Linked DNA regions of Coturnix japonica. The protein of the gene in region 3 purifies or fractionates together with the protein of the main gene of each other region. This does not show direct contact. Links are inferred from orthologs where the notes say so. Each region holds a gene or a part of one and is shown on either strand. Other genes may lie near its edges. The genes, in order: MEPCE, EFTUD2, PRPF4, PRPF4B, SART3, GPHN and SNU13.

The links.
Region 1: the proteins of PRPF4 (region 3) and MEPCE purify together in Homo sapiens (affinity purification with mass spectrometry; 4 studies listed by BioGRID and IntAct, with this or other methods). This does not show direct contact. The link is inferred for Coturnix japonica from reciprocal best matches to the Homo sapiens genes PRPF4 and MEPCE.
Region 2: the proteins of PRPF4 (region 3) and EFTUD2 purify together in Homo sapiens (affinity purification with mass spectrometry; 4 studies listed by BioGRID and IntAct, with this or other methods). This does not show direct contact. The link is inferred for Coturnix japonica from reciprocal best matches to the Homo sapiens genes PRPF4 and EFTUD2.
Region 4: the proteins of PRPF4 (region 3) and PRPF4B purify together in Homo sapiens (affinity purification with mass spectrometry; 3 studies listed by BioGRID and IntAct, with this or other methods). This does not show direct contact. The link is inferred for Coturnix japonica from reciprocal best matches to the Homo sapiens genes PRPF4 and PRP4K.
Region 5: the proteins of PRPF4 (region 3) and SART3 purify together in Homo sapiens (affinity purification with mass spectrometry; 5 studies listed by BioGRID and IntAct, counting the BioPlex papers as one, with this or other methods). This does not show direct contact. The link is inferred for Coturnix japonica from reciprocal best matches to the Homo sapiens genes PRPF4 and SART3.
Region 6: the proteins of PRPF4 (region 3) and GPHN purify together in Homo sapiens (affinity purification with mass spectrometry; 3 studies listed by BioGRID and IntAct, counting the BioPlex papers as one, with this or other methods). This does not show direct contact. The link is inferred for Coturnix japonica from reciprocal best matches to the Homo sapiens genes PRPF4 and GPHN.
Region 7: the proteins of PRPF4 (region 3) and SNU13 purify together in Homo sapiens (affinity purification with mass spectrometry; 4 studies listed by BioGRID and IntAct, counting the BioPlex papers as one, with this or other methods). This does not show direct contact. The link is inferred for Coturnix japonica from reciprocal best matches to the Homo sapiens genes PRPF4 and SNU13.

Annotation. Positions count from the first base shown.
Region 1 is NW_015439878.1:132,682-136,776, forward strand, and holds the start of MEPCE (7SK snRNA methylphosphate capping enzyme), read left to right. Parts: upstream 1-1,295; 5' UTR 1,296-1,395; coding exon 1,396-2,610; intron 2,611-3,469; coding exon 3,470-3,688; intron 3,689-4,095. Other genes in the region: ACTL6B (actin-like protein 6B), read left to right, coding at 183-269, 361-441. UniProt on the Homo sapiens protein: S-adenosyl-L-methionine-dependent methyltransferase that adds a methylphosphate cap at the 5'-end of 7SK snRNA (7SK RNA), leading to stabilize it.
Region 2 is NC_029542.1:768,950-772,449, reverse strand, and holds part of EFTUD2 (116 kDa U5 small nuclear ribonucleoprotein component), read left to right. Parts: intron 1-1,014; coding exon 1,015-1,078; intron 1,079-1,443; coding exon 1,444-1,534; intron 1,535-1,925; coding exon 1,926-2,061; intron 2,062-2,341; coding exon 2,342-2,469; intron 2,470-2,963; coding exon 2,964-3,157; intron 3,158-3,500. UniProt on the Homo sapiens protein: Required for pre-mRNA splicing as component of the spliceosome, including pre-catalytic, catalytic and post-catalytic spliceosomal complexes. Component of the U5 snRNP and the U4/U6-U5 tri-snRNP complex, a building block of the spliceosome.
Region 3 is NC_029532.1:813,639-817,766, reverse strand, and holds the start of PRPF4 (U4/U6 small nuclear ribonucleoprotein Prp4), read left to right. Parts: upstream 1-1,328; 5' UTR 1,329-1,364; coding exon 1,365-1,439; intron 1,440-1,621; coding exon 1,622-1,799; intron 1,800-1,993; coding exon 1,994-2,180; intron 2,181-2,377; coding exon 2,378-2,465; intron 2,466-2,681; coding exon 2,682-2,761; intron 2,762-2,979; coding exon 2,980-3,073; intron 3,074-3,645; coding exon 3,646-3,740; intron 3,741-4,037; coding exon 4,038-4,096; intron 4,097-4,128. Other genes in the region: anaphase-promoting complex subunit CDC26, read right to left, coding at 894-1,067, 1,155-1,235. UniProt on the Homo sapiens protein: Plays a role in pre-mRNA splicing as component of the U4/U6-U5 tri-snRNP complex that is involved in spliceosome assembly, and as component of the precatalytic spliceosome (spliceosome B complex).
Region 4 is NC_029517.1:63,515,824-63,519,323, forward strand, and holds part of PRPF4B (serine/threonine-protein kinase PRP4 homolog), read left to right. Parts: intron 1-322; coding exon 323-396; intron 397-1,808; coding exon 1,809-1,899; intron 1,900-2,569; coding exon 2,570-2,717; intron 2,718-3,500. UniProt on the Homo sapiens protein: Serine/threonine kinase involved in spliceosomal assembly as well as mitosis and signaling regulation. Connects chromatin mediated regulation of transcription and pre-mRNA splicing.
Region 5 is NC_029530.1:5,666,967-5,671,101, reverse strand, and holds the start of SART3 (squamous cell carcinoma antigen recognized by T-cells 3), read left to right. Parts: upstream 1-1,335; 5' UTR 1,336-1,590; coding exon 1,591-1,758; intron 1,759-2,996; coding exon 2,997-3,123; intron 3,124-3,709; coding exon 3,710-3,814; intron 3,815-3,964; coding exon 3,965-4,135. Other genes in the region: ISCU (iron-sulfur cluster assembly enzyme ISCU, mitochondrial), read right to left, coding at 561-671, 1,005-1,118, 1,195-1,281. UniProt on the Homo sapiens protein: U6 snRNP-binding protein that functions as a recycling factor of the splicing machinery. Promotes the initial reassembly of U4 and U6 snRNPs following their ejection from the spliceosome during its maturation.
Region 6 is NC_029520.1:27,356,529-27,360,028, reverse strand, and holds part of GPHN (gephyrin), read right to left. Parts: intron 1,756-3,500; coding exon 1,483-1,755; intron 379-1,482; coding exon 271-378; intron 1-270. UniProt on the Homo sapiens protein: Microtubule-associated protein involved in membrane protein-cytoskeleton interactions. It is thought to anchor the inhibitory glycine receptor (GLYR) to subsynaptic microtubules.
Region 7 is NC_029516.1:45,199,715-45,203,952, forward strand, and holds SNU13 (NHP2-like protein 1), read left to right. Parts: upstream 1-1,438; 5' UTR 1,439-1,561; coding exon 1,562-1,564; intron 1,565-2,149; coding exon 2,150-2,270; intron 2,271-3,190; coding exon 3,191-3,453; 3' UTR 3,454-4,142; downstream 4,143-4,238. Other genes in the region: MEI1 (meiosis inhibitor protein 1), read right to left, coding at 1,029-1,152, 1,290-1,433.

The DNA.
Region 1 (4,095 bases), on a different chromosome or scaffold from region 3:
GATTGACCCCCCAGCACCCCCGATCCCCCCCCACTGCACCCCATTCCCTCCCCTATAGCCCCCTATTGCCCCCCAGTCCCTCCCAGTGTCCTCAATCCCCATTCCAATCCCTCCCAGTATCCCTTTTAGTGCCCATCCTGGTACCCCCCATTCCCTCCCATTCATTCCCCCCCCTCACACAGAGCATGCGCCTGAAGCTGATCGCCAGTAACAGCACCATGGAGCGGCGCTTCAGCCCCTGGATCGGGGGCTCCATTTTGGCCTCCCTTGTGAGTTGGGGGCGATACAAACAACGTGGGGGGGGGGCAGCGATTTGTGCCCCCCCATCTCCCCCCCCCCGACCCCTCCCCATGTTCCCAGGGCACGTTCCAGCAGATGTGGATCTCCAAGCAGGAATACGAGGAGGGGGGCAAGCAGTGCGTGGAGCGGAAATGCCCCTGAGCCCATTAACCCTCGTTAACACGGAGCGAAAGAATGAGGAGAAAATAAACGGAACCGGAGCAAAAAGAGCCGATAAATGGAACCCCCCCCCCCAGGCCTGGAGCTGGGCGCAGGCCTCGATAGGCCGCACTGCTGTGAATGGGGGCTCAGCGCCTTCACAGCGGCACAGGGAGGGGCCTGGAGCCGCCTGGGCGGTTGGGGCCGGGGTTGTGGCCGCTGTTATTTCGGTGACATCTTTTTTTTTTACCAAAATCGCCCGTTTTTCCCTCAAAACGCGGCCTCGCGCCTCCGCTTTCCCTCCCGCCGCGGGAGCGCGCTCAGTGCGCACGCGCTTCCCCCTCAGCGCTCCGCGCCACATGTGCGCATGCACGACGCACAGAGGGCGCCCCACTGCGCATGCGCGGCGCGCCGAGGCTGTGCGCATGCGTCACGTGCGCGCGCCGACGGGTGACGCGTGCGCCGTGTGCACCCGGCGTCTGCGCACGCGCATTGGCGAAAGGCAGCCGCTCTGCCGCCCGTGCGTCCCGCGCTGCGCCGTCACCGTCCGGGATAACGGGGAGCAGCGTCGGCCGCGGCCAGGAACGGCCGGGAGCCCAGCTGCCGCTGTAGCTTTTCGTTCAGGCACCGCCGTGGACAGCCCAGAACCGCAAGGCCCCCGCGAGGCCCCCGACGCGCTGTGCAGCCATTGGTCGCTACCCCCCTCTTCCGCGCGCCACTTCCTCCCATTGGCCGCCGCCCACTCCGCCTCCTACCGATTGGCGCAGCCCTCCGTCCGCGCGCCACACGCCATTGGCCGTCTATCGGTTGGGGGGCGGGGCCCGTCGTGGCCCCGCCCCTCGGCTATATAAGGAGGCGCAGGGTGCGACTCGCCTGCCATCGCGGGAGGGAGGTGGCGCGCGCCGCACCGTCCGGCTCCGGCTCGTTGGACTCGGCGGTGGGCGGAGCGGCCGGGCCATGATCGAGATGGCGGCTGAACCCGACGCGTTCCGGGCCCCTCCGCCGCCTTTAAGGACCGGAGAACCACCGGGGGGGGGCGGGCCTGCACCGGGCGGCACCGACACCACCGGGCCCCAGCGGCGGAGGGGACGGGAGGAAACGGACGGAGCGGGGGAGGCCCCGAGACCCAGGAACGGCTTCAGAGCGACCGGAGGAGGCGGCGGGGGGGGCGGAGGGGGGGGAAAACGGCGGAGCAGCTGCACCGGATCCAAACAACCGCCGTGGAAACGGCGCCGGAGAGCGACGTCGGAATGTGACCCCGCGCTGCCGTCCGAGTTCCTGCTGGGGGGGAACATCTTCGACCCGCTGAACCTCAACAGTCTCCTGGACGAGGAGGTGAGCCGCACGCTGAACGCACGCACCCCGCAGTCATCACCGCTACCGGCACGAGGACGGGACCCCGTGGAGATCCTCATCCCGCGGGACATCACCGACCCGCTCAGCCTCAACGCGCCCGGGGGGGATGACGGGCTCCGTCTGGCATCACCTGCCAAAGCAACGCGACGTCGGCATCGCCACCGGGGTCAGCAACGGGGGAACAGCACCAACAGCACCAACAATAGTATGGAGCCAGAGAGCAGCACGGAGCACGGGAACACGGCCAGCAGCAGCACCAACACGGCTGGAAACAGCAGCACAACGTGCTCCAACAGCCGGCACCGTAAGAGGAGAAGGACTTGTAGTAAATCAGAGGCCGCCCGATCTACGGCGTCACCGGAGAAAGGGAAAGGGGGAAACAACGGCCCTAAAACCCCCACGACGGCCCCACGGCGCCGCAAGAGCCAGAAGTTCCAATATGGGAATTACTGTAAATATTACGGCTATCGCAACCCGGATTGCGAGGACGGGAGGTTGAAAGCCATGAAGGCCGAGTGGTTCACCGGGAAGGAGGTGCTGGATGTGGGGTGTAACGTGGGGCACGTCACGCTCAGCATCGCCAAGAGGTGGGGGCCCAGCAGAGTGGTGGGGCTGGACATTGACGGGGCCTTGATCCGCTCGGCCCGGCAGAACATCAGGCATTATCTGTCCGAAGAAATGGCCGCCGTGGAGGGAGGGGGGAGGAAGGGGTTCCCTGCGGCGCTGCTGGCCAGCAGGGGACCCATCGCTGCCCCACGGCTGCCCCCCGACGGGCCCGGAGCCTCCGACTTCCCCCATAACGTCGTGTTTGTCACGGTGAGGGGGCGGGGCTAAAGGGAGGGGGCGGGGCTAAAGGGAGGGGGCGTGGTTTGGGGGTGGAGCCAATCGGAGAGGCGGGGCTAATGGGCAGGGGCGGGGTTTGGGGCGGAGCCAATTAGAGAGGCGGGGCTAAAGGGAGGGGGCGTGGTTTGGAGGCGGGGCTAAACGGAGGGAGCCTGGTTTGGGGCGGGGCTAAAGGGAGGGGGCGTGGTTTGGGGCGGAGCCAATTAGAGAGGCGGGGCTAAAGGGGGGCATGGTTTAGAGGCGGGGCTAAGGGGAAAGGGCGTGGTTTGGGGCGGGGCTAACGGAAGGGGTGTGGTTGGGGGCGTGGTTAAGGAAAGGGGGCGGGGTGTTGGGTTGGGGCGGGGCTAAAGGAAGGAAGCGTGGTTAAAAGAGTGACATAGAGTGAATGGGCGGGGCTAAGTTTGGGGGCGGGGCTAAAGGCACAGCAGGTTTAAGGGGCGTGGTTAAGGGCGGGGCTAAAGGGGGCGTGGTTGGGGGGTGGGGCTTTACAAGGGGTTTGATTTTAATATGGGGTGTGGCTAAATGAAAGGGGTGGGGCTAAAGGAGGGGGTGTGGTTTGGGTTGGGGTCAATAAATGGGAAGGTGACACAGTTGGGGTGGGGGTAAATAGGGGGTGTGGCTAAAGGGGTGGTGCCGATGGAAGGGGGTGGTGCTTTGAAGGGGCTGTGATTAGGATGTACATGAAGGGGTGGGGCCACTCCCCCTTTTCTAAGTTCAATCCCCATCGTTTTTGAAGATCTCCTTTAATCTGTTATTTAACCCCCCCTACCCAGTCTCTTCCCCATTGCCATGAGACCCCTCCTAACCTCTCTCCCACCCATCCACCCCATAGGGCAACTACGTCCCCGAACGAGAGGAGGCGGTGTGGGCCCAGCGCCCCGAATTCGACGTCCTGCTGGTTCTGTCCCTGACCAAATGGGTGCAGCTCAACTGGGGGGACGAGGGGCTCAAAAGGTTGTTCCGTCGGGCCTACAGACACCTCCGGCCTGGGGGGCTGCTGCTGCTGGAGCCACAGCCATGGGCTTCCTACCGCAAGAGGAAGGGGCTGACGGTGAGATGAATGGGGTTATGGGGCACCAATGGGGGACTGGGGGGGATATGGGGGTTGGGGGTGCGGGATGGGGGTCTGCTCTTGTCTGTGGGATGGGTCCAGCTGTGAGCCTTTGGTTGTGGGACCCCTATAACCCTCCCCAAAGTCCCCAGCTGGACTGTGGGAACCTCCCTCAGAGCCTTCAGCTCTTTAAGATCTTCCCACCCATATCCTCCCAACCCCCTCATTGGAGCCCTATAACCCTCCCCCCAAATCCCCTTAACTCACCAAGACAACCCCCCCCAATCCTCCACTGCAGCCCCATAATCCCCCAAACCCCGCTCCAAAAGCCCCAGATCCCTCTCCTAATTCCTTCCAACACCCCATTGCCCCCACAGAACCCCTTATAACCTCCCCTCAGCTCATAG
Region 2 (3,500 bases), on a different chromosome or scaffold from region 3:
GCTTGCATTAGTCAGCGATCCAGCCAAGTTCTGAAGTTCCACGTTGGGGGATTTGGGGTGATCTGTAGGAATGTTGTAGATCAGCTCTCGCAAAGAAGTTGGCCTGAGGGAGGACGAAGTTGTAGAGGTCAAAGACTGATATTTCAGGGCTATTGTGCACCTTCATCAGTTTGGAGAAATAAATGAGCTCCCTGGGCATCGCAGAGTGAACGCAAGATGGTACCCCCCTGCTTTTGGAGGCTGATAAAGCATTCAGTGCAGTCGGTGGGAGGTGTCATCATCCATGAGCTGAATGGTACTTAAGTCAGTAACATCCGGCGGTGGTCACCAGGGATTTTGATTGCAGCCACCACTCTTCCAGTACCGTGAGTTATGGTGGTTTAACTGTCAGAACTGCAGCCACCCTGAAATTTCTTATGTCTGCACATCTGCCCACAGCAAAAGCTTGTTTGGAAACCACTGTAAATTACAACCGCTGTCTTTTTATTTGTAAATCCACCATGACAGCCAAGCACCGTTCCTTCAGCACTTGGAAATGCACTTAATGCATCAGCTCAGCTCAAACAAGAACCTGGAGGTGTTCAGCAAGGCAGAAAATGCTGCGCTGAGCCGTCAGGGTGTCAGCCATCCCAGCACCTTGGCACCGCGCAGTCAGGTCATGGTGTTACTGGTTGGAAAAATGAAGCAGATGTAACTGGGTTCCTGCAGAGCTGAGTCTGACTCCTCTCAGCTGTAACCTCGTGTGTGATCAGGACAGCTGAATTGTTCCTGAGAGGGAGATGTGCAAACACACAGTGCTCCTGGGGGCTGCTGCTGCAATAGTCCTCACAGGGCTGTTTTCTGGCCACTTCTCTGCCCAGCTGCCCCAGTTCAGGGTTTAGTCAGTTACACTGAATGGGGACCAAGTGTTCACTCACCAGCATTGCACCAAAACCTCAGGGTCACTTTAAAGGGCAAAAAGATCTCCAAAATGAGAGAAATACTGTGTCTCTTATTCTTGCTTCTTCCTTTCAGGTGATATCAATTATCAGGAGTTTGCAAAGCGGCTTTGGGGTGACATCTACTTCAACCCAAAAACGTAAGAGGCCTGTTGAGGTGTCTGTTACTTTGTTCCTGTTTATTTTTTCCTCTCCCTCCTCTGTAAACTGGACTGGATGACCGTTTGAGGTCCCTTCCAGCCTGAGCTGCCCTGTGATCCTGTGGTGGGAGGAAAGGTTGGGTCAGTCCTCCTGCTTGATATGATTCCATGTTCTCCTGAATCATGAATGGGAGCAAAGAGCTCTTCTGACCCTTGTTTGGAGTAAGAGTGGCTTCATTATCCCTGAGTGCTTCCCAGGGAGGTTGGGAGGGGTAGATAACTCAAGAAGAGCAGTGGCTGTGTGCAGGTTGATGCCAGTTGCTTGTGTGCTTGCTGCTCACTGCTCTCTTTTTGTCTACCAACAGGCGGAAGTTCACTAAGAAGGCCCCAACCAGCAGCTCCCAGCGCAGCTTTGTGGAGTTCATTCTTGAGCCCCTGTACAAGATCTTGGCTCAGGTACATGGTGGTTTGTTATTCTTGCAGCTCCAGACCATGAGCTTGCAAGGACTGAGTGGTCACTAGGTGGTGGTGGTGTGTGATGCCTGCGGGACTCTTCACACATTTCTGGGTTTGAGCATGCATAGAGGTGATGGACTTCTCCTTACAGCTATTCCTTGCAGATATGGCCCTATGTCTGTGCAGTTAGAACTGCTTTTGCTCTTTGTAATGTGCTATGATAGCAGCCAAGTGATAAAATGAGCTGCCCAGCCTGTTTTGTGTGAGCTCAGTTGTGTGAGCAAGGCTGAGAGCAATACCTGGCAATACATTCGGGGCCTTCAGCTGCACCCAGGAGCCTGGGACTTGGGCACCTGCAGCAGAGCCAACAGTGGTGCCTGTCATCCTGCAGGTGGTGGGGGATGTGGACACGACCCTGCCTCGCACTCTGGATGAACTTGGCATCCACCTGACCAAAGAGGAATTGAAACTGAACATTCGACCGCTCCTACGACTTGTCTGCAAGAAGTTCTTTGGGGAGTTCACAGGTAAATCCTTCCCAGCCACAATGTTCCCAATGGCTTACCCTCATGTGGACGGAGTCTAAGGGCTGTAATGCAAACACAGAGTGTCAGCTTGCACAGATTCCTTTCTCAGCTTTGTTTTTCCGTGTATAAAATACAAACTGTTTCCTCAAAGAACAGCTTGAGATGCTGCTCACATCTTCCCCTTACTGTGGGTGCTCTGCAGTTGGGTTTAAGTTATGTTTATTGGGGTACATTTTATTTTTCTTCTACCCTGCTTGATCACGATGTATTACTTTTTCAGGCTTTGTGGACATGTGTGTGCAGCATATTCCCTCCCCAAAGTTGGGAGCCAAGACAAAAATCGAACACACCTACACTGGTGGCGTTGACTCCGATCTTGGGGAGGCCATGAGTGAATGTGACCCTGACGTAAGGAAGCTCTTTTATTTTGTTCTGAGCATCCAAAATGTGGCAAATACACCCCCCTTTCACTGCCTTGACAGAGCAGCTGCCTCCTGGACAGCCATCTGCACTGATTTGACTTCCAGCACTCTGAAACCTCTCATCCGATACTGAAACAAATCTCTTCACTCTGAGAAACTTTAGTGCCTGTCAGGGCAGCCCTTGGGAGATAGAACTGTTTGACAGTGTTCAGAACAAGAGTCTGGGTCAGGACTCTGGAGCATGTGGGCGCTGCAGGGTGATTCTGTGTCCTTTTGCTGCCTTTTGTCTCTTTTCCATGAAGTTTTATTCACTCTCCAACCTCCTGCATGAGGCTGATAAAAATAATGCTATATTAGCAAGTCACAAGAAGTATTTTTATGTTCCATCTCTTCGATCCAATTGTATCCATAGGTCCTACCAGGTCTGTGTCTGTTTTCTGGCTGTCTATTGAATATGGTTTCTTTCTTTTCCATGGGAAGGGTCCTCTGATGTGTCACACAACAAAAATGTACAGCACAGACGACGGCGTTCAGTTCCATGCCTTTGGCCGAGTGCTCAGCGGTACCATCCATGCTGGGCAGCCTGTGAAGGTCCTGGGAGAGAATTACACCCTGGAGGATGAGGAGGATTCCCAGATCTGCACTGTTGGACGCCTCTGGATCTCAGTTGCGAGGTAGGGAGAGCTCTGACAAGGTGTTGGTTTTTGAGAGAAGTCACTGGGAGTCATTGCTGTCAGAGACAGGGAGGAGGACGGTGCTGTCAGCGGCCTGAGGTACAGTAATAAGAGTGGATTTAATTTAGATATAAGGAAGAATTTCTGTACTGTGAGGGTGGCTGAATGCTGGAATGGGCTGCCCAAAGAAGTTGTAGGTGCCCCATCCCTGGAAGCATTCAAAGTCAATTGCATGGAACCTTGACCAACCTGATCTGGTGGGAGATCTTGGCTTCTGAACGAACAAATGATCTTTAAAAACCCTTTCCAACCCACACTGCTCTATGGTTCTGTCATCCTCCCA
Region 3 (4,128 bases):
CAGACTTGAATTCTGACTGTTCCAATCAGAGAAGGATAAGTTGGAACTATGCAGTAGCTGCGGCTTTTATAACATAAGTTCAGTCCTGCTTGCTTTTCTGCATCACTGTATGTGCATCCTCCCTTGAAATCATCTCTTTTGAGGGTTAGTAACTGTTGACAGTCCTGAGGAGCCTCCCTGTGCCCCAGCCTCCCTCCTGCCCACCTGATGCTGTTTGCTTCCCCAGTCTGAGCAAAACCTGCCCACTGTGATACCGACTTGCACTTAGTGCGTTGGATGTTGGATGCCATCCTGGCCTTTATGCTGGCTGTATTTCAAGCTGTCCCAGTGTTAACACTAAACTTGTGTTGAGTGGTGCTTAGAGGGAGGTGAGGACTCTAATATTAGATTATTAGACTTGAGTAAATGAAGTTCACGTGTCAGCATATGTAGCATGCTTAGAATGTGATCGCTGTGTCTGTGAGTGCACCCTGATACTTTGTCTTTACATGTCTGTAGGAAGCACAGTGTATCCAGGCTGTGTTCATCCCTGAGCTTCTGTTATTTCCCCCAGTGCCTTCTCAGTTGGTCTGCAGCCCCAGCAGACCCAAAAGGACGGATAGTTTTGTTTACAGCAGACTGTCACTTTTGATTTTCCTCTTGCTCTTTGTGAAGGTAACTTATCTAGTAACGTATCAAAGATCTCCTGTATATAATTAACTAATAAAGCAGATGCATTTTACTGTGGCTGTGTGCTTTAAAAACAACCGTCAATGCTGCAGCTGTGCTGAGTGAAGGCTTTTACTTCCCCGTGCAACCAAAGGAGACCCAGGAGCTGGTGTCGGTTTGTAAAAAAGCCCATTTATTAAAACAGCCTCGTGTGGCTCCGTTCGGTACCGGGAGCAGCGGCACCGTCAGAACTCGAACGTGCCGAAGTGCGCGGCTCGGACCCCGGCCTTGTGCTGCGGTTTGTACCCGATGCGGTCGTTGATGAGCTGCTCCCGGCTCTTGTGCTCGGCTCCCAGCGCGATGCCCGCCGCCTCCTCGCCGCCCGCCACGTCCGCCTCGTCCCGCTGCTTCTTGCGGCTCTGCGGGGCGGGGGGGCCGAGTCAGGGCCCCGGTGCCCGGGACAACCCCCGACCCCTGCCGGTCCTTCCCCTTCCGTCCCCGCGCACCTCCAGGTCCTTCCGGACTCCCTCGAACTCCTCGATATCGTCCAGTTTCAGCTCCAACCTCGTTGGTTTCCGTCGCAGCATCGCTTCCGCCGCCTCCCGGCCCCTTCCGCTCTGTCACGCACCGCCCGCCCCTTCCGGTTTACCCGGTGTGACCCGCCGCTTCCTGTCCGTCACCGGAAGTGCTCCGTTAGGCCGTCGGGCAGCGCAGTGATGGCGGCCGTGCGGGCACCGGTGGCTCGAGGCGGGGCGCGGCCTGCGGCTGTGAGGGGCCCCGCACCGCCTGAGGTACGGGAGGAGATGGGAAGGAACGGAGCTGGGAGGGCTGTGACGGGTCGGGCTGTGACCGGTAGCGCTGCGGCTTTGGGGTGTTATCACAAGATCCTGTGGTTTCCGTGCCGTGTCCGTTATGAGGTCAGCTCTGCACTCAGCACACACGGATTCCTATCGGTTCTGTCTTTCCTTTGCAGCCCACGAAGAACAAACCGTCCGAGGATGGCGATGCTCCCCCCGCCAAGAGGGCGCCCATCTTCTATGGCAGCCTGGAGGAGAAGGAGCGGGAGCGGCTGGCCAAGGGGGAGCCCGGGCTGCTGGGGAAGGAGGGAATGAAGGCGGCCCTGGAGGCCGGGAACATCAACATCAGCAGCGGTGAGAGCACAGCAGCATGGGGTGGCCTTTATTTAGTGTAATCGAAAGTCACTCCAATAATATCTGAGCATACATTAGGTTTGATAAGGGGAGGCTTTTCCCTGGGTTGCCAGCTCTCTGTTGGGATCTTCCTGTTGGAGGAGGATCTCCTGTCCAGCTCCTGTGTCCAGGCTGATGGTTTTGCTTTGGTGCAGGTGAGGTCTTTGATCTGGAGGATCACATGAGTGAGCGACAGGCCGAAGTCTTGGCTGAGTTTGAGCGCAGGAAGCGAGCCCGGCAAATCAACGTCTCCACGGATGACTCTGAAGTGAAGGCCTGTCTGCGAGCCCTCGGGGAGCCCATCACGCTCTTTGGAGAAGGTCCCGCAGAGAGGAGGGAGAGGTGCTGTGTCTGCCCTTGTGTGTTGCAAAGAGGGAACGCTCAGCTTCCCCCACTTTATCATATTCCCACTGTTTTCCTTGTAGTTGGCGTGCAGCGAGTGCTGCCGGTCTGTGTTTGGTTACAACATAACAAGAAAGAATGGAACACAATGAGTGTTTGTCCACCAAGTGAACGTAACCTAACGTGTTTCCTTTCAGGTTAAGAAATATCCTCTCAGTGGTCGGCACAGATGCATTAAAAAAGACAAGGAAAGATGACGACAGGTCGAAAAAGTCTAAAGAAGAGGTAATGATTTCTCAGTGCCGGAGGAGATTTATACAGTCATCTTTGAATACCTTATTTTGGTGGTCTCTGAGACATTCAAGACCTGGTTGTGGTCAGGGTGCAAATTCTAAAATCATCCCTTTCTTTTTCTTTGTTGCCCATTTTAGCAGAACTGTCAATGCACTGTTTAAATCGGCAGCATTAAGCTTTTTTTTGGCTTTGTTCTTTTCCTTACAGTATCAACAGACTTGGTACCATGAAGGACCACGGAGTCTGAAAACAGCAAGGCTGTGGCTTGCTAACTACTCGCTTCCCAGGTAAGGAAAACTAACATCAATGAAGGGGAGAAGTGCAACATTTTGTAAACTCTTAACTACTAACCACATTGTGGGTAGTGTAGTAAATTTGAGATCAAAAGAATGAAGAACATGTTCCGGTAGACAAATCTGTTAGCCCAGTAATGGGGAAGTGAGGGTTTCTAGCAGCAAGGCATGGGAAATGTGAACATCTGGTACTTGATCTTTGTTCTTCACAGGGCAGCGAAGCGTCTGGAAGAAGCCCGGCTGCTCAAAGAGATTCCAGAGGCAACCAGGACATCGCAGAGACAAGAACTGCACAAATCCCTACGAGTAGGTTTGCCATCTGTTCAACTGCTGCTTGTGAACGTTTTTTCTTGAATTTCAAAGAGATCAGAAGGATCGAGCTGCCTGGAGGGGCTGTCCAGATGTGTGTAATTTGCTGTGCTGCGCCTTGAAGAGCTTTGCATTTTCTCTCTCTTCTAGTGGTACTCGTGTTCTAGCTCTGTTTCTGCAGTTGTACAGAGAAATCTGCTTTTGTTGTATTCTAGCACTGCAGAGGGATGCAGAGACACATCCCTGTGTTGATTTGCCTCTTACCTTTGAAGCTAAACAGATTGCTTCTTTTCAGTCAAAGCTTGAGTTGCAAAGCAGGGCATCAGTATGATTGGTGGCAAGTATGGTGGGTGGCATACTGAGTGCTAAGCTGAGCCATGGAGCTGTGCTAGTTTCTCTTAGTCAGATAAACTCCATAATCCTCCTGCTTGGGGCTAGAGTAGCTCTGAGGTAACATCTCTCTTTGGAAGTGATTTCCCTGTGGTCTCTGACTTCTGCTTCAGTCACTGGCCAGGACTGTCCCTAAGTCATTTGTATTTATTCATTGTTTTCTCTGTATTTTGTTGCAGTCCTTGAATAACTTCTGTAGTCAGATTGGGGACGATCGCCCGCTGTCCTACTGCCACTTCAGTCCCAATTCCAAACTCTTGGCTACTGCCTGTTGGTAAGTTCTCTTCAAAGCATTTACTTTAGGGCATGGTGTCCAGTCTTTTGGCTTGCCTGGTCCGCACTGAGTGTTTCGTCTCTATAAACATTCAGGAATGTCGATGAATGTCAGCAGGTGCCATTTTGTCCTCAAGGAGGAATTCAGTGACACACCTTTTGCTCCATGTGTGTTTCCATGTCAGATGCTGTTTTGTCAGACTGCCACTTTCCCACTGCAGAAGCCCTTGGTGTAGTTTGTTTGATAAGCTGTTTGATGTTCCTGTCTACACTGACTTCTGTTTCTTGTGTTCAACAGGAGTGGACTGTGCAAGCTGTGGTCTGTGCCTGACTGTAACCTTGTTCACACCTTACGAGGTAAAGAATGACTTTCACTGATATCCTGTGTA
Region 4 (3,500 bases), on a different chromosome or scaffold from region 3:
TTAATGTATATTTTTGTGCAGTCACTTGTGAGGATCATACAAAGTATGTACCTTTCCTTCCTGCTGTGTGACTTGCTTGAAAGCTGTTATACTTAATTTTTCAAGGAGGTGCTATTTTGGTTTTTGAGTGCTTTGACGAACTTGACCACCTCACTTTATGTGTATAATGTAAATCAGCTCTAACTTTTCTTGCGAATACTTTAGTTTGCCACCATGTTGATTTTGAGATTGCACTGTATCAATATCAAATCACAGTTTACATTGCTAACTGTTGTGCACTTGCCATCTTCATCGCCTGGAATAATGTGAGTTTCCTTTCAAGGTTCAGCTCAGAAGAAACTGCTAGCTCCGGATATGTTCACAGAATCAGATGATATGTTTGCTGCGTACTTTGATGTAGGTAATCCTTAGAGATGAAATGCGCGATTCTTTTCTTTCTTGCTTTTTTATTGAAGGGATGCTGTCACTTGAGGTTTGTGGGAACACTGAGCTGTAAAAGCAAAGTAACTGAGTTGATAATTCTGATATTTTGATCAGTTGAAGCAGACAAAGTAGCTTCTAATATTTCGGTGAAAGAAAACCTGCAGTTGGTAGGGTTTGGGCCAAACTAAACAACAAATTAGGTATTTCACCTGCTGTTCAAATGAGAGCTGCGTGGCACACACAGTAACAAACTTCATACTAACATTTTATGTTAAAGCTGCCACATTTTACTGTTCTTTCAGAGATGCGTACTTTCCTCAGAGGTTCACATAATGTTAATTACAAAGCCTGTGTAATGTATTTTAATTTGCTCATGACATGCTGTAGTGATGTGGAGGCTTCTTTTTGGATGAAGAGATGCATTTCCCATTTCTACTTATTGCACTGTTTCAGCAGCTTTTCTCTAAACATGCTGAAGCAGCTTGCAAGTCTTAGCAGTCCCTTAAATACTTGTTGCTAGTGATACACAGTCACTGAGAAATAAAGTCAAAGCAGCAAATTCCTTTTAAGATGGAAATTCTCCAGTTAATCTTGCTTTATGGCAGATGAAATCTATTAGTTCTCAAAAAAGACTGTTGACAGAAGGTGTCACTGTAATAAAACCGACACACACACGGGCACACCGAAGGAGAAAGATAAATACTGCAGGAATAGTGGTCGTTTAGGTGCTCTTAAAAACTTTGGGATAACGAGTAGGGATTTAAACGGTTTGTAAGGAATCAGTTTCTGCTCTAAAAAAATTGTTGTTCAGTCAAAGATGTGTTTTACTACTCATGAATTGGAATTTGCAACAATATTGTCAGCTCAGTTAAGCAATGTCAGCAGTGACTGCAATGCTTCTGTGATTCTAAGTGTAACAGTATGGATTTTGTGAGCTGGCATTGAATGAACAGAAAGAAATTTGAGGCTTCAACAGTTACATTTATCCCCCAGATTGCTAAACTTTTATTACTACAAATATACTGTAAATAGTAAGACTAATTAATATAGTCCAAACTGTGTGTTCTAATTTGACTTGTATAAATTCATTGCAGGTAATGGTTGAAACATGTCTCATTTCTCATACTTAATAATAGTTCTGTTGCTTGTCTCTATTCCATTCCCTTGCAGTGGTTTTCAAGCGATGGTATTTAAGTAGCATTCAGTGTTCAGTAGTTTTTTTTCTCCTACAAGATAAATGTGTTTGTAGTGTGGAGAAGAGCATTGATTCAGTAGGAAAAAAGTGCCTCGTAATATGAACTTCTGATTTTTATAAATAAACGTTAAAGAAAATATACAGCTAGAGCACACAAGCAAAGCTGTTCCATTTGTTCTTTTTGCTACAGAGTGCTCGTCTAAGAGCTGCTGGGTTTGGAAAAGACTTCAAAGAAAACCCCAATCTCAGGGATAACTGGACTGATGCAGAAGGCTATTATCGTAAGTTTCATTTATTGGTTCGTGACTGTAGCAAGGAGGAGGATGCTAAATGGAAAAGAACCTCATGTCAAAGTACTGAAATGCTCTAACGTGAATATTCTGCTGTGAGTGCCATGCTGAATATGGTGTGCCCAAAGCAGTTTTCTCTTCTTGCATATTGTGCAGCATCAGGTTGCCCCTAGATATAAAACTATGGTTAGGGTAAAACTCAAACCTGCCCATAGTTAGAGCTGTCACATCATCCTCACAAAGGAAGGAAGGAATGAAGGAATGCTTGCCAGGATCTGAAACCAAGAAATTCAGCATCCAAGAGAATACGGGTGGCACTTGTGGTAGTCATTATCTAGGATTCAGAATGGAGATAGTGAGTGAGCAAGCATGTTTTACTTACTAGTCAGTGTTAAAGGCTCATTTGCAGGTGTAAGGGCCAAAATAAATTTACCTGCAATGGATGAAATGAGCATGCAGGTTTTAAACTCAAGAAGGGGAGGATTCCAGACTTGGAGTTGCTGATGTTGCCCATAATTTCCACAAAGACTGGTGCTAGTATGCTATGAAATTAAGTGATCATACTGTTGACATTATTTAGAACCATTTATTTTTCATAAAATGTTTCATTGTGCATACGACATGTAACTCTTACTTGAATTGCTTGATTTTTATCCTTCAGGTGTTAATATAGGTGAAGTTCTAGATAAACGTTACAATGTCTATGGTTACACTGGTCAGGGAGTCTTCAGTAATGTAGTACGAGCCAGGGATATGGCAAGAGCAAACCAAGAAGTAGCGGTTAAAATCATCAGGAACAACGAACTTATGTAAGTAATGTTTTTGTTTCATAATACTATGATAAAGAATGTGAGACTTTTGGAAGTTTTTTATGATGTGATTTGAATCTTCCTTTGTTTCAAGTGAAGTAACAGATTACAGCTGTGGTTCCTGCCTTTTCTGCTAATAGGAGCCATATAATTGGAAGCGCTTGAGGACTATGTATCCGCACTCACAGGAGAAGGGTACTTGCATTTTCATCAGGCACTTTCTCATTTGCAAAACTGCAGGGAACAGTGGTGGCAAGGAATAAGCTTGACATTGATTATGTTGTCTGCCCAGCCCTGAGATTTTTGAGATGGGAATCAAGGACTGTAAAATTCTGGTTGGATGAACCAAATCCATTTGGGAAGCTGTGGGTTGGTTACTAGTCAGTCATATCTAACTTAGACAAAGACGTTTCAGTGTTTCAGTGAATTATTTTTGCATATTCTCCGTATGTGCGCATGTGTAGAGGATACGAGAAAGTGATGATACTCTACCTATTGGAAAGAAAATCACTGGAGGTCTTTTAGACTGAGTGATCCTTAACTAGGGTGATGTTGTATTAAACTGTGTTAAGTTACGTGAGGATTCAGAATCTCTAATATTCATTTTCAGCATCTGCTGCCATATACCTACAGTCATGTGTTATGTACTTATCCATTACTGATAACTTAGATGGAAATATTTTCCATGCGTTTTACACCAGAAGTCTTAAAGGTTGTTTTGGTTTGTGTGCAACTGAGTTATTTTGAGCTATACGAATAGTACCTAGAAATATTTAGGGGAAA
Region 5 (4,135 bases), on a different chromosome or scaffold from region 3:
TAAGAAAGGCCTTTCAATAATACCTGTTTTATTCTGCTCCTGCCAAGCAACAAATCTGCAACCTACTACAGGGAACCTCCTTTGGCAGAGGAGCTGGACTAGGTGATACTCAGAGGTCCATTTCAACCCCTGATTCTATGAAATATAAGGAATGTCTCAAAGTGTGCAGTGCTTGTTAATAAACCAGAGCATTATTTTACTGCTGACCAACTGCAGGGACTGTTCCAGGTTTGTTCTGCTGTAATATAGAAACAACCTGCTTGTCACAATGCCAAGCACACGGAGATCAGCCAATGGAAGACATTCCACTATACAAGTGCTTTCTTTATCTATTTTCGATTGCTGTGTAGCACCCAAAGCTTCTTCACAGCTTATTGGAGACTTCCAGAAAAGGCAAATATTGCTTTAAAAGTCAGGAAAGATGAAACTGCATTCTGAGCTTCTATGTGAGTGTAACACCTGGAGAGCACCTCTCTAGACCCCTGTTTCCTTCCCTGATCCCAGCAGTGGGTGTGAATATGTACCTGCTCCCCACTGTGCCCCTTAAGCCAAGCCCTTACCGTCTTCCCTTTCACCCACTCTGTTGCCAAGGAGCTGGAAGCGATGGCAGAACCACAACCGAAGGTTTTGAAGCGAGCATCAACAATGCGGCCGTTCTCATCCACTTCCACCTGTGGGAGTTATCAGAGGGGCGCTCAGTTCCACGTAGGAACCACACACAAAGGGACAGCGATAGGACAGCGAGTTTAAGGCTGGGGGTTTATCGGATTTTAGGGCCTGCAGAGGGACTTTAAGGGACAATGAGTTTAAGGCTGGGGGTCTATTGGATTTTAGGATCTGCAGAGGGGCGTAAAGGGACAGCGAGTTTAAGGCTGGGGGTCTATTGGATTTTAGGGCCTGCAGAGGGGCTTAAAGGGGGTGTGACGGAGGAATCCTATGTCACAGCCATATGGTGGCAGACACTGATGGTTGTGTCCTTACAGGGCACCCCGTGCTCCCCTCACCTGCAGCTTCATAACGTCTCCACAGGCCGGGGCTCCCACCAGGCCCGTACCCACGTTCTTTGCGTTGCGATCGAGAGAGCCCACGTTCCGCGGGTTCTCGTAGTGATCCACCACCTGCGAGAACAACGTGTCACTAACAACCCCCAACGGGCACTATGGGCTCCCCACAGCCCTACCCGGCCCCTCTCACCTTCTTGTGGTAGCCCGCCCCCCCCACCGCCGTCGCCCCCCGCCCGGGCCGCAGCAGCGCCGCCCCCGCCGCCCTCAGCGCCGCCATCTTGAGTCTGCCCGCACCTGGCAGCGGCGCTCTGCCCCAACCCTCCCGAAGGACCCCTGGAGGCCGAGGCCCTGAGGTGTCCGTGGCGCTGCCTCTGCAGCAGACTAAATTATAAGGAGTAACGGGCCGAGCTGCTCGGCTTTTCGTGGCAGTTGGACGCGGAGAAGAGCAGAACCTTGTCGGGAGAGTTTATCGTCCTTTCTTTCACCGCTTTTGGCTGGGGGGAATGTACAATATTGAGACAGGCGCGCAGTAGCCAACCCCATCGGCTGGCTGAGAGCGGCCGGCAGCGAGGCGAGCTGCAACAAGATGGCGGCGGCGGGAGCCGAGGCGGCGGTGGAGGAGGAGAAGCGTGTGGTGGAGGGAGACCCCGAGTCGGGGGGGGATTCGGAGGATGAAGGCGACTCGGATTCATCAGGAGACGGCGAGGATGAGGAGAAGGAGAACGAGGCGGAGATCCAGCGGCTGGAGGAGCAGGTGGGGCCCGGCTGTACCGTGCTTTGGTTATGGAGATCTGGAAACGCCTCCGGGCGTGATGCCTTTTAATTCGCTTTTTATTCCTCGCTTCAGGGCGAGAGAGACTCAGGGAGCAGCCCTGGTATGTTGAAAGTGAACTCAGATGGTGGTTTCCTTAGTGATCTTGAAGGAATTAAAACGCGTTTGCTGAGGAGGGCTCACTGGGTGTTAGCGCTGTGTCTGTACTTGGGGGCTCTCGGGCCTTAGGGCTGTGAGTTCAGTCTTCTGCAGAACTTTAAAGCCCAGCTTTAGTAACAGGGATCTTCTATGAAGGGCTGCAGAGGTGGTCGGGGCCTGCAGCTTCTATTTGAGGAGCCCTGAGGCTGCCCTTGAGGCAGGAGGGAAGGCTGAGGGAGCAGCACTTGTCAGGGTAGAAATCGTGAAGATGGGGCCAGGTTCTTTTCAGCCATGCCCAGCTACACGATAAGGGGCAGTGGGCACAAACTGGAACCCAGGAAGTTCTATCTGAACGTGAGAAATAACTTCTTCGCTGTGAAGTTGACAGAGCCCTGACACAAGCTGCCCAGGGAGGTGGTGGAGTTTCTTTCTTTAGAGATGCTCAGGATCCACTGGGATGCTTTCTAATGCTACCTGCTGGGGGGAGGGTTGGACTGAGGGATCCTCAGAGGACTTTGCCTTTTCCTGTCACTTACAGTTCTGTGATTCTGTGTAACTGAGCAGGGAGGTGAATGTCTGTCTGTACTTGGCCCTGGTGAAGGCAAGGCATCTTAAGTGCTGCGTTTAATTTACTCACTACAGAAGAAAGGCATCAAGGCCCTGGAGCATGTCTGGAGTAGGGCAGCAGAGCTGTAAAGGGTTTGGAGTACGAGCTATATGGGGAGAGGTTGAGGGAGCTGGGGATCACAGAATTGTAGGATGGTTCTCCACTACTCCCTGAAAAGAGGTTGTAGCAGGGTGGGAGTTGCTCTCTTCTCCCATATAACAGCGATGGGACAAGAGGCAAAGGCCTTAAGTTATACCAGGGGAGGTTCTTGTTGAGTATTGGGAATGACTGCTTCTTCAAAAGAGCAGTCAGGAATTGAGACAAGCTGTCCAGGGAGGTGGTGGGATCACCATCCCTGGAGGTGTTCAAGAACTGCAGGGATGTGACACATAGAAAACAGTGTGTAAAGTTCTGTTCTGCTGAGTATTTGCTGACTTCTGCAAGCCTTTAAAAACTTCCTTTATTTTCTTTAAAGCTTTCCATCAATGCTTTTGACTACAATTGCCACTTGGATCTGATAAAGCTGCTCCGCCAAGAGGGAGAGCTGGTGAAGCTCAGAAGAGCTCGGCAGAAGATGAGTGAACTCTTCCCACTTACTGAAGGTACAGAGCTGCTTCTCCTTGCAGCTGGTAATACTGATGAAGCATCATCAGTGTGAAATACTCTTTGTGCCAGGTTTCAGCCATGCTGTTCCAGCCTAAAGGATCAGATTGAAGCTCTGAACTCAACTTGAAGCAGGCCTTTCTTTTTATTTATAGTTAACACTGTAACAATATAAATACCTGGCAGTGGGCTTTTAGCTTTGGCAAGTGAAGGTTTCCTCTTAGGCATGTGGGAACCTGCAGCCTCTAAAGCCATCTGCTGTTTCTTGTAAAAAAGAAGGAAACTGTGCCACTCAATGCCTCTTTGCTGGCCTATGTGCATTCTCTGTGCATGGTGCTGACCAATTGCTGCTCACAGCTTCATCTCTCTTTAAATAGAAGCATACTTGCTTAGGACTAGGTTGGAGACATCAGTACCAAACTTTTCATTTAAACTAATTGTGTGTAGATGCGGGGACTTAAAATTGCTCTTTTTCTCCCCATTTTCTCTATCCCCATTTTTAAGCCTGTTATTAAAAAATAACCAAAAATGTAAAGGGAAAAGTTTTTTTCCAAGCGTTGGTGACTGTAAACTTCTTGGTTTCAGAAATCTGGCTGGACTGGTTGAAGGATGAGATAAAAATGGCTTCTGAGATCTCAGAGCGAGAGAAAGTTTATGAGCTGTTTGAGAGAGCCGTGAAGGATTACATCTGTAAGTTCTTAATGTGTGGGAGTTAAAAAAACATTTAAAGGTCTATTATACTGAATAGTAAAGACAATTTCTATGCCTTTGGATAAGTATTTGAGATGCCTTTGTATTTTCGAGGACATCAGCTCTCCTGTTTCTCATAACTTTGTTTAGGTCCTGAAATTTGGCTGGAATATGCCCAGTATTCAATCGGTGGCATTGGTCAGGAAGGAGGAATTGAGAAAGTTCGCTCAATATTTGAGAGAGCATTGACAGCGGTTGGGCTGCACGTGACAAAAGGAACAGCTCTGTGGGAAGCGTACCGTGAGTTTGAGAATGCCATCC
Region 6 (3,500 bases), on a different chromosome or scaffold from region 3:
ATAAAGTTGATGACTCATCAGAAACACAGGCTTTACAGCAATTTTTTATCTCAGCAGCCAAATAATTCCAATTGACAGAAAAGCACATGATATTTATCCTGTTGAGTTTTGTATCTTAAGCAGAATGTTCTCTGTAGCATGTTCTTTAAAAGACAGATAGCACTGATATCTATTTGTTAGAATAAGAAAAAGTAACACTGTTAGAATAGGTGGCAGGCAGTGTAATTTTAACTACTGTTAGTGCAAAAGCCTCTGGGAAGTGCATCTTACCGGTTCTTCTGCACTGCCTGCCGCATGATGGCAATAACTGATGAGACCAGGAATGGGCTGTTCACCTTTTGCCATAATAACTGCTGAACTGGTGTAGGATGGATGTTTCTAATGCACAACACATAACAGCTATGAATACAGTGACAGGAAAATATGAGACCAAACAAGCAAATGACTGAAAGACAATGAGGTGAAAACAAGTGTGAAGCTGAAATGTCAAGCTCACATGAACACAGCCTGTTTAGATGTCAGATAATTTCTGTCTTTAAAATTGCATACATTATTTTTCTTTGTCTATATTAAAATAAATCAATGAATTTTAAAAAATGCATTAATAAAAACTCAGAGTTGCATCTGATAACTTCCTTAATTCAGCCTTTTAAAGACATACACAACCAGGATTTTCCATAAAACGATGATCTCCAGCTGTAGCTGTCTTAGACCTGAATTCACACGTCTGGAGTTTGAATGTTGCTGCTTTGCTTTAGAAGTTCTTTATAAGCATTTTGAGTTATGTGCACATTCAGTTCCCATAGTTGGAATTAAAAGTACAGCAAGTAAATACAGAGCTCATTTATTTGTAATAAATGAGTGTCATTCTTTTTCCTTTTGTAGTCTCCAATTCATAATTTTGGTCTGAGTAACGCTGAAGTAACAATCACCTATAATTCGTAGTTACACAGAGGCTCTAAAGACAACATGATGACACTTAATTTAGTGACAGAATTTCACATTTCTCATGCAGTAGATTGGATAGCTTATGACCTAACCTGCTACGTAGCTGTCATACTTTTTATGTTTTTAAAAACCAAGCGTCATTACAAAATGGAAAATATAAGTTAGTGAATCTTGCTGTGACTCCTTAGTATGTCACTAGTTGGACTGTGCACATCCAGGAGCCTGAGTATTTCTGATCGTTTCTTTTAAACCTAACACTAAACATGCTCTGTCAAGTCAGAATATAATATCAGAATATAATTAAAATGTAACCTGCAATCTAAATAATAAACAATGCATCTTCCAATGAAATCGGTGATCATTTACTGAAACAACATTCATATACTCTTAGGATGCTAAATTTCTATGAAATGTATCCAAAATATATCTGTTTGAGCACATCAACATTGACGTATAGACTTGACATGCAAATGAATATTGGTGGAAAGTACCTGTGCGAAGCTAAAGAGTGTCTTGGAAACAAGCCAGACTCACCTTAGCTGCAATGGCTGCTGCAGTTATATGTGAAGAGGAACTGTCCTCTGTTGATGCAACTCCACTATCCTTCTTCTCTTCCTCCTCTTCCTCACACTGTACTCCTTTGTCCTCTGTCTGCTTGTGAGGGCTGGTGGTTGGAGGAGGAGAAAGAGGAGGTGGTGGTGAAGGTAGATCTTCTAGCTCATCGTGTACCTCCTTTACTTTTACAATGGCATCTCGCAAGAGATCGATGGCATGAGGTAGGGCTGGCAGTATAAATTGAAAGCATTCCTATGCACAAGAAGAGAAATGACTATGAATAGTTACTCGCAGAAGCAAATAAAGATTTTTCAGATTTGCTCTTAGGAGATATTGGGGATTTTGATGCATCTTTTCACCTGATCGTAAATGAAAATCAAAATGCCCATTACCAATGCTCTTAGAAAAACAAACAAACCAAATCCCCAACAACCAACCAGCTAAAAAACCCACCAGAATCTGAACTGAGGATTCAAATATTTTAGTCCTTTTCATGCAAACATAGTAAGCAGTACAACAGTCAAGAATTAATGCAATTAATCTAAAACTGGATTAAAATGTAGGAAAACAAGAGTTAAAATTTTAATGAATGCATAAAGCAGAAGCACATTTATGGCAGTTGGCAGTATTATTACAGAAAGGCAGAATAAAAACATTAACTCTATCTCTGCAAGGTTATTAGCTTCAAATAACTTCTGTTACACTCATTCACAATTTGAGAATGTTTCATAATAATTGCCATAATTGTACTTTTAAATAACGTTATTGTTTATTTTTTAATTCATGAACTTATCCTTTGGGCCTCGCAGGCAGTACTGATGTCATTATAATTTTATGTAACTAAAATAAATTTACCTTTGGTAATCTATTTTTCAAACCTCTCCTTGCTCCGTGATTTAAAAGCCATCAAAAAGTTTATTTTGTACAGTCGGAGAAAAAACACAGATGCCATGTAACCATTCTAGCTCTGCAACAGGTGTACATATTTCTAGCTACCTTTAGTTATTTCACCAAATAAAAGAATCATTCGTGTTGCAAGGAACCTCAGGAAGTCATTAAAATACTGAATTCAGACAGGTTGCTTTGGGTTTGTTCAGCCTAGTCTTGAAAAAATCCAAGAACCGAAGCTCCCCAAATTTTGTGGACAACCTGTTCTAATGAGTAATTATCCTCATAGTGATTTTTTCTTTATCTTTTTATCCAGTTGGAAGCTCCCCTTCTTCAATTTATGACTCATCCTCTTCCCAGGCACCTTAGAGTAAGGGGTTTTCATGTCTCGTCTGCTCACTACATAGACATATTGAATTACTGGAAAATGATGGCAAGGTCACAATAATGAATTGCCAAGGCAGTACAGTTAGAGTTGACAAGGTAGCTGATGTTATTCCTTTCATCGCTTTTCATCTTTTGTTTCATTTCAACCATAAAGAAGACTTCTCAAAATTGTAATACTGGAATTTAAAGAGTGCAAAAACTAAATAATGATAAATATTTTTAAGCAGATACAGTAACAAGTATTTTCAATAAATAAAAATGACTATGTTAACAAACCGTCCATCAGAGAATAGCAGAATTTATATGACCCAGTTTGTAAGTCAGAATCATGACTCACAAACACTATTTCCTCAAAACCTCTAAATAAGAATCCATCTTTCAATCATACCTCTGGGGGTAATGAAAAGTCAGACTACTACTCAGGTATTTAAATTCTATAAACATTTGATTTGTTACTCTAAACAACTCAAGTAAGCAGATGAGCAAGAACTGCTGCATATAATGAATATATATGAAAAATCTATTTTTAAATATAATAAAGAAATATAATTTCTGTTGCAACTGTAAAGCTCACAGTTACTGACCTTCCAAAGTACTATTTTAAAAGTGGTTTAAAACACTGAGGTATACAACCACCCTTACTTCAGTGAAAAAGCAGATCTCAAGCAAGCAGTAAGCAAGGAGATCTGACTACAAATAATGAAAACATACATTAATTATTA
Region 7 (4,238 bases), on a different chromosome or scaffold from region 3:
GTATAGGGTTGCATGCAGACAGTGCTCAATAAAAATCTGTGTGACCAAGAGAACGCAACCTGCACAACATTCTAACAAAGCTGTTTTCAATGTGCAAAGCACAGTTTGTGCTGGGAAACCAGCTGGGAAACACAGCTTGAATTATTCAGTGTTGTGGCAAGGGAAGGGGCTTGTAAGTCACCTCGCGCAAAGCACGTATCTGTGATGTGCAAATGAGGCTGTGGACTTCAAGAAACCCAGTATAATTGCTCTTTGAAAGCATTTGCATTCATAACCTCCACCTTTTTCTTCCTGCCTGACTGTTCCCTCATTTACACCATTATTTCTCTTCTGACAGGATTTTAGAGATTTCAAAGACCTTACCCACAGCGCTGCTGTGCAGAGACAGTGAGAGATTACTGAGATCGGAAGGACCACTATTGGAAAGGCACTTTCTAACATCTCTTTGCTCTGCTAGGAGGCTGACCCACCAGGAAGAAACAGGTGTCACAGTCCTATGGCTAGAAGGATTTCAGCTAATATAAAGTGACAGTGGGAGAAAGAAATACCGTACTATTTGATAGTAAATCCTGTAGCGCCCTTTTTAAGTTCACACTTCCATTTCTGTGTGGATCTTAGTATAGATGAGAAAGCACTGAGGCATGAGACCAGAACAGAGGGTGTTCTGGGAAGAGCCATAAGCCAGAGCGCTCAGTTCTCCATGAAGGTTAAAGATCTGTGAAGATGCTCAGGAAAGCTGTGGGAGCTTTATTAACATGCCAGTTCTGCTCCTTGGGGGAGAGGGAAATTAATTACCCTATTCTAGTTGGAATGAGAGGCCCTTTTCTGTGGGGAATAGCAAGATGTAATGGAGAACATTGGCAGGAGCATGGAATTGGGTATTCCAGTGGTCTACTGCCATTTTGTTGGGGGAGCTGAATGTGGAGAAGCCTGGGTCAGGGAAATCCCAGATTCTTCGAGGTCCCTTCCAACCCAACCCTACAAAAAGGGAATTCCTTGGTGCTGTTAGGCCGTGTGGGAGCTCTTACCGAAGAGCGTTCCTATCAGACAGAGGCAGCCCCTCTCGTCTGGAGCCAGCAGCTGGACGACCGGCAGCGCCTGCCAGGCCAGGGCATCGCGCAGCCGGGACAGCGCGTGTTTCTTCCGCACCAGCTGCGGGTGGGAGACAACCGTCAGCATCCAGGCCTGCCCGAACGGCACTAAAAGCGTTACCCCGCGTTCCGTGCCCCTGCCTCAAGGCAGCAGCGGGCTGCGGGGTACCGAGGCCTACAAGGAAGGGGAAGCCGCACCGAGGCGCCGCCATCGCCCAGCGTCTCCACAGCGCAGGCGAGGCACAGCGGCGGTCGGAGCGGCAGGTTCCACCTCGCACCGTGCCGATCACGCACGCTCTCGCAGCCCGCCGCCATCGCCTCACGGCCGCTAGGGCGCGCCATGGGCAGGCTCCCGGCGAGGCACGGCCCGCCTCTTCCCTCCGCCGTTCCCTCAGTTCCGGCGGCGTGCGGCCCGCTGCGCGCACGAGCGTTGGGCCCCGAGTGTCCGAGAGCTGCACCGCGCCGCCGCCATGGTGAGCGGGGTCGGGGGGGAGGCGGGATGCGCCGGGCAGGGTCCGCTCCCCTGCACACCGAGGCGGCGGGCGGGCAGCGGGGAGCACGTGGGGGCCGCGCTGCGTGGGGCTGTGCCGAAGGGCGTCCGTGGGTGGGTTGTGGGCTGGTACACGTGATACACGCATTCATAGGTGCATGAGGGGAGGTTGTGGCGAGGTGGGGGCAGCCTCTTCTCCCCGGTAGGAGCTGTAGGATGAGAGGTGATGGCCTCAAGTTGCGCCAAGGGACGTTCAGGTTGGATATCAGGAAGCGTTTCTCAGTAGGAGCGGTGCTGCGGTGGCACGGGCTGCACAAGGAGGTGGTGCAGTCACCATCCCTGGAGGTGTTCCAGAGCCGTGTGGATGTGGCACTGAGGGATGTGGTCAGTGGGCATGGTGGGGGTGGGCTAAAGGTTGGACTGGGTGATGCTGGTGCTCTTTTTCAACCTTAGTGATTCAGTAATGGACTACACGTGGTAGACATGCTGCCTCTCTAATGCCCCTCGGAACAAACTCTTTTGCCCCTGCTGTACCACTCTCCCATCTTTCCCTTTCTCCGGTTTCTAGAGTGAGGCAGAGGTGAACCCCAAAGCTTACCCACTGGCTGACGCGCAGCTCACCAAGACGCTGCTGGACCTTGTGCAGCAGTCCTGCAACTACAAGCAGCTACGCAAAGGAGCCAATGAAGGTGGGAATACTGTGTGAAGCTGTGGCTGGAGATTGTATTTTCTTCTCCAGCTGTGGCCATGAATATTATATAGCTCGGTCTGGCACGAGTGACCCTTTCCTTCCTCCTCTTAGATGCTCAAAGTGTGTTCCTGGTGCATATACTGTGATCATATATGATGCGGCACTGAGATGACCAGGTGTCTTGCCAGCTTAAAATCATAAGATAACTGGGAGTTGAGGGGAGCTCTGTAGTTCAGACAGCTCAGAGAATGTCCCTTCACAGCGTGACTGAGCTGCTCAAGGCCATATCTGGTTAAGCTTCATCTGAACAAAATAAAAGTCCTTAAGCGTGGAAACTCCACAGTCTCCTATGGCTTAAACTGCTCTTCTGCCAGGATTTTTTTTCTCCTCATATCTCCAGAGTTTCCCCAAGGCAGCAGTCAGAGTCTGCAGTCACAGTCCTTTAAGCTGTGCGTTCATGGGGATAACCTGGCTCCATCCTCGCTGCAGTCTCCTTGGAGTGGCAGAAGGCAGCAGTCACTCTCCTCCATCCCACCTTGGCTGGTTCTTCTCCAGTCTGCACAGATCCAGCTCCCTTGGTCTCTCATCTGCAGAGTGCCCCAGCTGCTCTCCCTGTGCTGGCCTCACTCCTTTGTGAAGGATGCAGTAGCTCAGATGTGACCCTATGAATAATCCCTCCCTGGGACCTGCTATGGGTTTTCCAAGGGTCAACTTCCTTCTTCTCATGGGTGCACTGCTGACCACAAACTGTTCATTCTGGACTTGGAGCTGTGCTATTACATGGCCCTGTAGCTGATGGTTTTCTTTGGCCTGCCCTCTTGCTGCCCCTTCTTGCTCGTGCTGACATCAGCATCTCCTAGTGTTGTTCACAAGATGTGCTTCACAGAACCTAGACTTACTTTCAGTTTCTTTTTGCAGCCACCAAAACACTGAACCGAGGAATAGCAGAGTTCATAGTGATGGCTGCCGATGCTGAACCCTTGGAGATCATCCTGCACCTACCTCTTCTCTGCGAGGACAAGAATGTTCCTTATGTGTTCGTGCGCTCCAAGCAGGCCCTAGGCCGGGCGTGTGGGGTTTCCCGGCCTGTCATCGCCTGCTCCATCACTATCAAGGAGGGATCGCAGCTAAAACCTCAGATCCAGTCTGTACAGCAAGCTATAGAGAGACTGTTGGTCTGAGCGCCCTTGAGCTTGAGTGTGTGTGGAATGGGTAAAGGTGAAGTCAGGGGGAATTAATGTCTAGCTTTAGTTAATGACGTTATAGTTTTGATATCAGTGTTCCATTTCAAAAATCACATCTTTGTTTAATAGCGGCTTAATTCTTCAAGTGTCTCTGCCTCTTCTCCCCTCCCTTTCTCTATTATTCCACTCCAACTCTCATTCTCGTTGTATTACTTCTTGAAAAGTGATTGTACAACTGTATTTACTGTTTGACGTTCAAAGGAAAAAAAAATCCCCTCCAATCTCCATATCTGCCTGCTCAGGGCTTTTGTAATCTACCCATTAGCTTCCTAATGCTTCAGCCTCTTACAGGTGTATCTTTGTTTCAGAATGGTTTATTCTATGGGGGAGTAAGGTGTGTTGGTTCCGCAGCACAGTACGTGTATTTGGGCTGCCAGAGTTGTTGCTTTGAAGCGAAGCAGCATAGACTAAAGTGTAGGACTGTGGCTACTGTGTAGCAAGCAGCTGGTGGAGCCAGGATCAGTACACATAGCACAACCCTGCCTTCAGATCAGGCAAGAGGCTTCTCTAAGAGGGTGTATGGGGAGCTGACATCGTACGGCAGTGCACAAGGGGAAATCTCTAATTTCACTTATTTTTAAATGCTGTTTTTTTAAAAAGAAAATAAAATTACTGACAAATCTAAATACAGGAACGGCCAGAATTGTTATTCTCAGTTTTCTTTGCATGGATTGCAACAGTGATCTGCAAAGCTTGGGCTTCCTAAGACATTTCAATACAAA